Xenopus tropicalis: one gene and its partner. The protein of the gene in region 2 interacts with the protein of the main gene of each other region in a biochemical or structural test. Links are inferred from orthologs where the notes say so. Each region holds a gene or a part of one and is shown on either strand. Other genes may lie near its edges.

Evidence for each region.
Region 1: the proteins of bnip2 (region 2) and arhgap1 form a complex in vitro, tested with the Homo sapiens proteins (2 studies listed by BioGRID). The link is inferred for Xenopus tropicalis from reciprocal best matches to the Homo sapiens genes BNIP2 and ARHGAP1.

Annotation. Positions count from the first base shown.
Region 1 is NC_030680.2:12,963,844-12,967,669, reverse strand, and holds part of arhgap1 (rho GTPase-activating protein 1), read right to left. Parts: intron 2,144-3,826; 5' UTR 2,136-2,143; coding exon 2,000-2,135; intron 1,905-1,999; coding exon 1,809-1,904; intron 1-1,808. UniProt on the Homo sapiens protein: GTPase activator for the Rho, Rac and Cdc42 proteins, converting them to the putatively inactive GDP-bound state. Cdc42 seems to be the preferred substrate.
Region 2 is NC_030679.2:96,408,767-96,412,592, reverse strand, and holds part of bnip2 (BCL2/adenovirus E1B 19 kDa protein-interacting protein 2), read right to left. Parts: coding exon 3,716-3,826; intron 2,443-3,715; coding exon 2,340-2,442; intron 1,447-2,339; coding exon 1,315-1,446; intron 992-1,314; coding exon 905-991; intron 813-904; coding exon 714-812; intron 1-713.

The DNA of each region.
Region 1 (3,826 bases), on a different chromosome or scaffold from region 2:
CCCCCCCCAAGTGGATTTATTCCTTCCCACCCCCCCCAAGTGGATTTATTCCTTCCCACCCCCCCCAAGTGGATTTATTCCTTCCCACCCCCCCAAGTGGATTTATTCCTTCCCACCCCCCCAAGTGGATTTATTCCTTCCCACCCCCCCAAGTGGATTTATTCCTTCCCACCCCCCCAAGTGGATTTATTCCTTCCCACCCCCCCCCAAGTGGATTTATTCCTTCCCACCCCCCCAAGTGGATTTATTCCTTCCCACCCCCCCAAGTGGATTTATTCCTTCCCACCCCCCCAAGTGGATTTATTCCTTCCCACCCCCCCCAAGTGGATTTATTCCTTCCCACCCCCCCCAAGTGGATTTATTCCTTCCCACCCCCCCAAGTGGATTTATTCCTTCCCACCCCCCCAAGTGGATTTATTCCTGCCCTCCCCCCAGTGAATTTATTCCTTCCCACCCTCCCAAGTGGATTTAACCCCCCCCCCAAGTGGATTTATTCCTGCCCATCTCTACTACAGATGTCATGGCACACAGACTGAGCAGAACCGGTTTATTGGGAAAAGGTTGCTTAAGTCTATTGCCTAGGGGCAATACTCTCGCTCACAATTGTGCTTTGTGCCACTGGCCTTGTAACAGAGACAGGGGAAACGCACCCTACACAGTAAGCTGTAAATCTCACTAAATATTATGGGAGGAAGTTTAACTTCCTTTTTAACACCAGGCCTTTCATTTTATTTCTAAGCCAAGTTCTTAAGCGCACAGCCTCCCAGACTGTAGGGCTTCCCATACAGTGAGACCAACTGCAAGTCTGCTGCTCACAGGGTATGGACATCTCACTGCCAGGATCACTTCATTCTAACCCACTCAGCAGTGATACCTAATGTCCCTTGGAAAATCCTTTCCTACCTTTGGTCAGACTTCCCCTTCAACTCATAATAAGATAAGAGCTTTCAATCTGACCCTAACCAATAGGCTGGGCCCTTTTATTCACCGCCTAAGGCTAATGCCCCACTGGGCAAATTCCTTGCCTGTGGATACACGCAGCCCCTACAATGGCATCAGCCTTTCCCTGTGCCTGCACCCGTAGGGCCCCAGTGGAGCAATAGGTTTGCCTGTGATATCCCAGCTGACGAATCAAATGCAGGGGGCTGTACGGTGCCACAGAGAGATGAATCATGGGATATCTTTCCAGGCAGCTATAAGATCTCATAACCATTTCATCCCTGACCTGCAACATTTACCCAAAATGGCAAGATATTTGAATCTGTTTATTTCCATTTAAGTAGCATCATTTTATTGTGGCTTGAGAGTGGGGGGGGTGCTGACAAAGGCAAAGCTAAGAGGTTGGAAAGCACAAACATGACACACCAGCTAAAGTATGTCAGAAATGTCTGATTTGGTTTTCCCAATTCGGAGGGGGGCGGGGGAGAACGAGAGGCAAAAAAAGAAAGAAAAACACTTAGCGTGGAAAGTTCTCTGGAAGGGTGAAATCTGTGCAAATTATAAATGAAAACCATGGTCTCTGTGTGACTTGCTGCATTGGAATCCTCCATCCTTAGACAATGGCTGATAGACTGCATTGAGGTGAGGCCCTGGGAGCTGTTGGGACAAGTCCTTTCCTTCCCAGGGAAACCTATTAACCAGCACGCACAGCCTACGCTAGGCAAAGGTAACATGGAGTTGGTAAAGCAGCCTGTGGGGCTGCCGGAGGGTTTTAGCTGCTCGGAATCTTGTTTTTTTTCTTTTTTCTTTTATGAGATGCCGGGGGGGGGGGGGATGTCCGATGAGCACATAAAAGAGAAAGTTCCTACCTGCTACCTCTACAATCTGACGCCACGCAATGTCATAGTATGGGTCGTCCCAGCGTAGGTGGGTCACAGGGTCAGGGGAAGGCTTCGAATCATTCGCTGAATAAAGACAAAAAAAACGAACACTGAATTTCCCATGCCACCGCCGTTTACCTACCACCAATTAGTTTAAATCCGGTAAAAGAAGGCATTACCGTTATTCGGATAATCCTGCACGTCATCCGAGGGCCAGTTCTTATCATCCAAAGACGCCAGTTTCAGTTGGTCCAGCTGGTTGGTTTCATCCTTATCCAAGTCATCGTTAAGGTCTGACAGAGGGTCGGACGCCATACTGATCTCTGCAAGGAGAAGACGGATTAGGCGGAATTTGGGGGTTCAGCACTATAAAGCTACACAAGGGCAACCGAACATTCATTAATTGTATTAAATTTTTTCCTACTGTATAAAGAAGGTGCAACTGCTTTGAGTTCTGGGGTACTATGGGTCCAGATCTAGGGAAGCTCCTGTTCAGCTCCCACATTAAGCTGACCGTGCACAGTCAGAACCCCCTGCTATCTGCCCCTAAGCATAGGATTACATCTGATCAATCAGTATAAACACTGCATAAACCCAACCAAGCCCATTGAGCATAAAGCAGAATCGGGGATTAGTGGGAGGCTACATTTACAGCCTGGTGGCTAGGGTAGCCATGCTAAAGGTGGGCACTAACACATGTTAATTGCCACTTTAACGCCTCTTCCTGTTATGTTTAAACCCCCTGCTGAATTTAAACGCTGCCATGAAGTCACACTGTAATTACACACGCAAGAAAAACAAGAGAAACCTGCTGGTTAATAAACACCTAGAGATGCAAGAAGGGTTCTGTGGTACTTCTGCCCCTTCTGAAAACCGGGTTAATCATTTGTATCGAGTCTGCCAGGGTTGCCCGAATGGAATCTAAGGGCTACGACCCCCACCACAAGGCCTGCCAACGTGCGGCTCTGCATCGCTGAGCTGGTACACTGATATCCTTATCAAAGGGCTGGCAAGGAGCCCGGGGGGTTGGCACGGGTACAAGGAAAGGGGTGAATGAGCCAGTTCTCAGCCGAGTACTTTTTACAGCTCATAATATCAGCGATCGTTGTGCAATTGTGCAGGGCATGTATGAGATTTCGGATAAAGCGTTTTGTTAGATCATGTAATGCAAGTAGCCTGTTTCCATAGCAACAGAAAGAGGTATAACTTGGCCTTGATGCTGATGTTTTTCATTGTGGAGAAACAACAGGTTTTACTGTACATCCAACCCCATGCGCTGGTTATAGCTGGTCACTACGGCCGTGCAATCTAACGTTTCCTATACCTGGGCAGGTACTGTGTCCTTCATGGTCAATTTACCGATTCCTTGGGGGGGGGGGGGAGCAGCCATAACGTACAGTTGGTTACTGGTGACAGAGGCGCAGGAGCAAACAACTCATTTATGGTCAGTGGAACGGAACTTGTGCAAACAGAGGGTGTTTGGGAAGAAATAGGAGACGGTTTATAGTTTATACATGGGGGTAACTACAGAGGGAGCAGGCCCTGTGACTGCTGAGGGGCCTACGAGTTGCATGGGGGCCCAATGGGGAGTGCCCCTTAACTTCTAGTTACACCGCTGCCTTTATTCATAGAACACAAACATATTAGGCTGATGGTGCCCAGGGATTGTCTCCTGTTTAATACGGCACTGCCCTAGGTACACACTCCATAACCTTGCCCCATCCCCAGGCCCGGACTGGCAATCTGTGGGTTCTGGTAAATGCCAGGGAGGCTGTAAGATGCCATAGACACTCACTATTTATTGGGCTGGGGGGGCTGTTTGTGCCTCTGGGTACTGGGAATGCCAGGGGGGCTGTAAGGTGCCACAGACACTCACTATTTATTGGGCTGGGGGGGGGGCTGTTTGTGCCTCAGGGTACTGGGAATGCCAGGGGGGCTGTAAGGTGCCACAGACAGTCACTATTTATTGGGCTGGGGGGCTGTTTGTGCCTCTGGGTACTGGGAAT
Region 2 (3,826 bases):
CTGATCTCCCTTCAGCAGAACATTGACTTAACCTGTAAGTGCTGAATAACAAATCCTCCCTGGCTTTGGAACTGGCCGGTTGCCCCCAGGTACTTACACGTTACTTTGCACTCCTGTGCAGGAAGTCTGCCCATATTGCAAAATGCTTATTATGGAGGCACCTATATGCAAAAAATTGCATAGAAATGCTAAACTAAACAATTTTGAATTAAACAATGATAAGGGGATATTTATACACAATCAGTATAGATATATGTCAATAGTAAATTGCAATGTATATGAGCAAATTATATCTCTTTGAACTTTACTTTATTTTCTAAATTCTTAGTAATTCCTTTTTATTGTGTCCTTCGGTATCCATTATACATTTTGTGCACATTGCCTTAAAGATTTGCATATAATTTAGTGACAAAACTTCCTAATATCAGTATTATTTGATATTGCAGTTTATAAACCATACAGTAATGGTTAAAAACAAGTAATCAAATATGTTTTATAGGACAAACAATTAGAATCTTGGTTATTCCTTGTACCCAATTATTTATGTTAAAGGCAATTTGGCAGCAGGAAAAGAAATATCACACTTATAGCAATCAATGTAGCACAGAGCTGTTTGCCTTTCTAATATTAAACCATATATTATCATATAACTGTCTCAAACTAAGTTTCTAACTACACAATGACAAATGAAATAAACAAAGAACATTACATACTCTTTTATGCATTCCGGTATGCTGACGTACTCCATAGGAATAAGTTCTGCTAATTCAACCAAGCTAAAGACATATTTAATTTTCTGGCTGAATTTTGAGCTAAAAACAAAATAAAACAACAATGGTTATTATGGTAGCTACTGTAGTAATATAATAATTAAATATAGAAGATCAGATTTCATTTCTATTACCTAATGAAGGGCTTTGTGATAGCTAGAAGTGTTCTGATAAACCAGGAAGGGTGTACTATGATCAAAGACTTGAGATTTTTCCGTAACCTTTTATAAAGAAAGACAAGCATTTGATTAGGCCACATGAAAATAAGTCTAGCAAAATTGAAAAATATATATAACCGTTGACCAGTAGAGTGCACATTTGTGCATCTTTGTTCAGTGCAGTTAAGTCACATACTTGATTGCTCAGGCTTTAGGCAAATCCTAATCTTTAAAAAAAACTTCTGGGATTCTGTGAATTCCAAACTGTATTCTGGTTTCTGTGCTTCCCTAACAACAGATTGACCTGAATGCATTAGCATTCAAATACATAATTCAACTTACATCTGTAACTGTAGCCCCCAATTTATTTGATGCTTTAGACATACCTCCTATCAATTTGTTGATAGCATTTCCTAAGCCATCCTAGGCTAGGCATTTTCCTCCGCGTTGTGGCTCCATTTAAATAAACTATCATGTAGTTTTCTGCAACTAACATTTCCAAAGTGCCAATAACATACCTGATGAATAAGCAGAGATACTTATTATTATTGAAAAATAAAAATACAAAACTGGGAACAAAATCAAAAAGACACAGCAAAAAAAAAAGGGGTAAAAAGCTGGTTGCATAGTACTAACAATCACCTAAATAAAATGGGGAACAGAATGAATGAAGCGTAGCAAAAAGGAATAAAGTTGGTCACAAACTACCAAGCACCAAATTCTCTGTGTGGATCCACAACCAAGTTAGTCTAACAGCTGCAAAGCAATGTGGCTGCAATAGAGATGATTACAAAAAAATAAGAATACAAAATTTTGGTCTGCTAATATGAGCCCCAATGCCATTTATGGGGTCACCAGGAACAAGATGGGGCCACCATTTCTTAGTGGTCTCATCATTCTGCCCAATATGTGCAGTTTGGACAACCACACGTGGGCAGTATTACACAAAAGGACCAAGACTTCATTAATCACCTTCTGTTTCTAATCTGTGTGGTAAATTATGACCCCCTTACTTAATATAAGTATATTCAATGTTACTGAGGGGCTTCAAAGACAAGATGCTGCAGGCCGAGTGCTTTGCATGCCCTATGGAACTTTGAGGTGCCTTCTAATATGCATATAATTTAAATGAGGGGTATATTTGTTTTTATGACACTGGCTTTTTTATTTTTTTTTACCAACATTGGACTAATGAAAAGCAACAGCTGTTCAGTGTTAGTAGAGCCCAGGTGCTTCAAGTAACACAACTGACACCAAAGAGCAGCACCAATAACTAACAACATCACTAAACAGTTTCCAAGGACATATTCTACAGGCTACACATGGCTAGTGAAATATAAAGTATTTAGTATATAATTCTTTATATACAATCGTACTGATATAGATAATAAATACAGAATGCAATACTCACTTAAATAGATTGTCCATTAGGTAGCGATAATTAGGTTGACCACTATCAGGCATAAAGCACACAGCAAACACTATAATTGCATTTAATCCATCTCCATAATAACCTTTAATGAAAATAATTATAATAAGTCAGTGGAAGAGAAACACAGGTTTTTCATTTTCTAGATCTTTTCATTTGTGTAATAAAATATGTTTGTGCAGAGGCATAACTACAGAGGGAGCAGACCACATTTGTGGATTATATATTGAATAATGTACCCCCTTATTTTTCCATGACCATATAGCACAAGGCTGAAATGCTCTTATACAGGTCATGGAACTTTGAGGTGACTTCTAATATACGCATATTTTAGCACAAGGGGTGCATTATTTATTATAATACACAAGTTTCAATGAGTCAAGTGAAAATACAACACTTTGACATTAAAGGAGAATGCAAGTCAAAATTTAAAAAGCATACTGCCCAATAGTCCTCCTATTGTTTAGTAAAAACACCACACTTTTGGCTCACCTAATCAAATATTTACTCAGTCACACTTACTTCACATTTTCTAGAACAGGCAGCCATCTCTAAAAAGGTATTCTCCCTTCCTTTCCCTCCTTGCTTCATACTGCACGTGTTTCATTCCCTCCCCCCCTCCCCTCTGCCAGATCCACTTCTGATTGGCTGGTGGGCATGTGTAGCTCAGAACAGGAGACAGGATCAAGTTACACACATGCTCAGAGAATGGGAAGGCTGCCGCTGGCTGTAGGCTGTAGGCTGCCAGCACCATATCTCAGAGAAGCAAGCAGGGATCTGGGAATTTGGATATGCAGTAAGTACTTAAAAAGAATGCCTTTAGACTTACTTTTAATTTATATTAACCTTTCATTGTCCTTTATAAGTCATTATAATTGATCCCATTACTAGGTACAATTTATAAAGATATAATTAACAGAGTATTCTGGGCTTTTCTATCTATCTATCTATCTATCTATCTATCAAATAATACAACATCTTCTAATCATATAAAACTGCACTCACAGGTCAATGATGTAAAGTAAAAAAAGTGGTAATTTATATAGTTAGTCTCCTTTTTTTTTAACCTAATATCAATTTGAAGCTTGTGCTGCTATTTTGCGATCCACCTCCTTCCCAGGAGGCAGAGCGTGCTATTTATTTGCCATTGCACTAACTACCAGCAATGATTATGCATTAGAGATCTCATTACATACTTTGTATAGATCCAAAGTGTAGCCCTCACACTAAAATCACACATGTTTCTCAGTGCATTGCCGCAAAGGTAATACTGAAATTACTATTTAAATAATAATAATATAAAATGAGTGCATGGTTTTATTGTGAGCAGAAGATTACATGTAAGTACCTCTTCTTACCTCCATGGCTAATAACTTTTTTATATGGTTCTATGGCAGTCATATCAACCCTATGATCTTGCTCGCCAATTCTGAACATACGCCAGCGTCTGCTTTCCTCTTTCTCCTCTG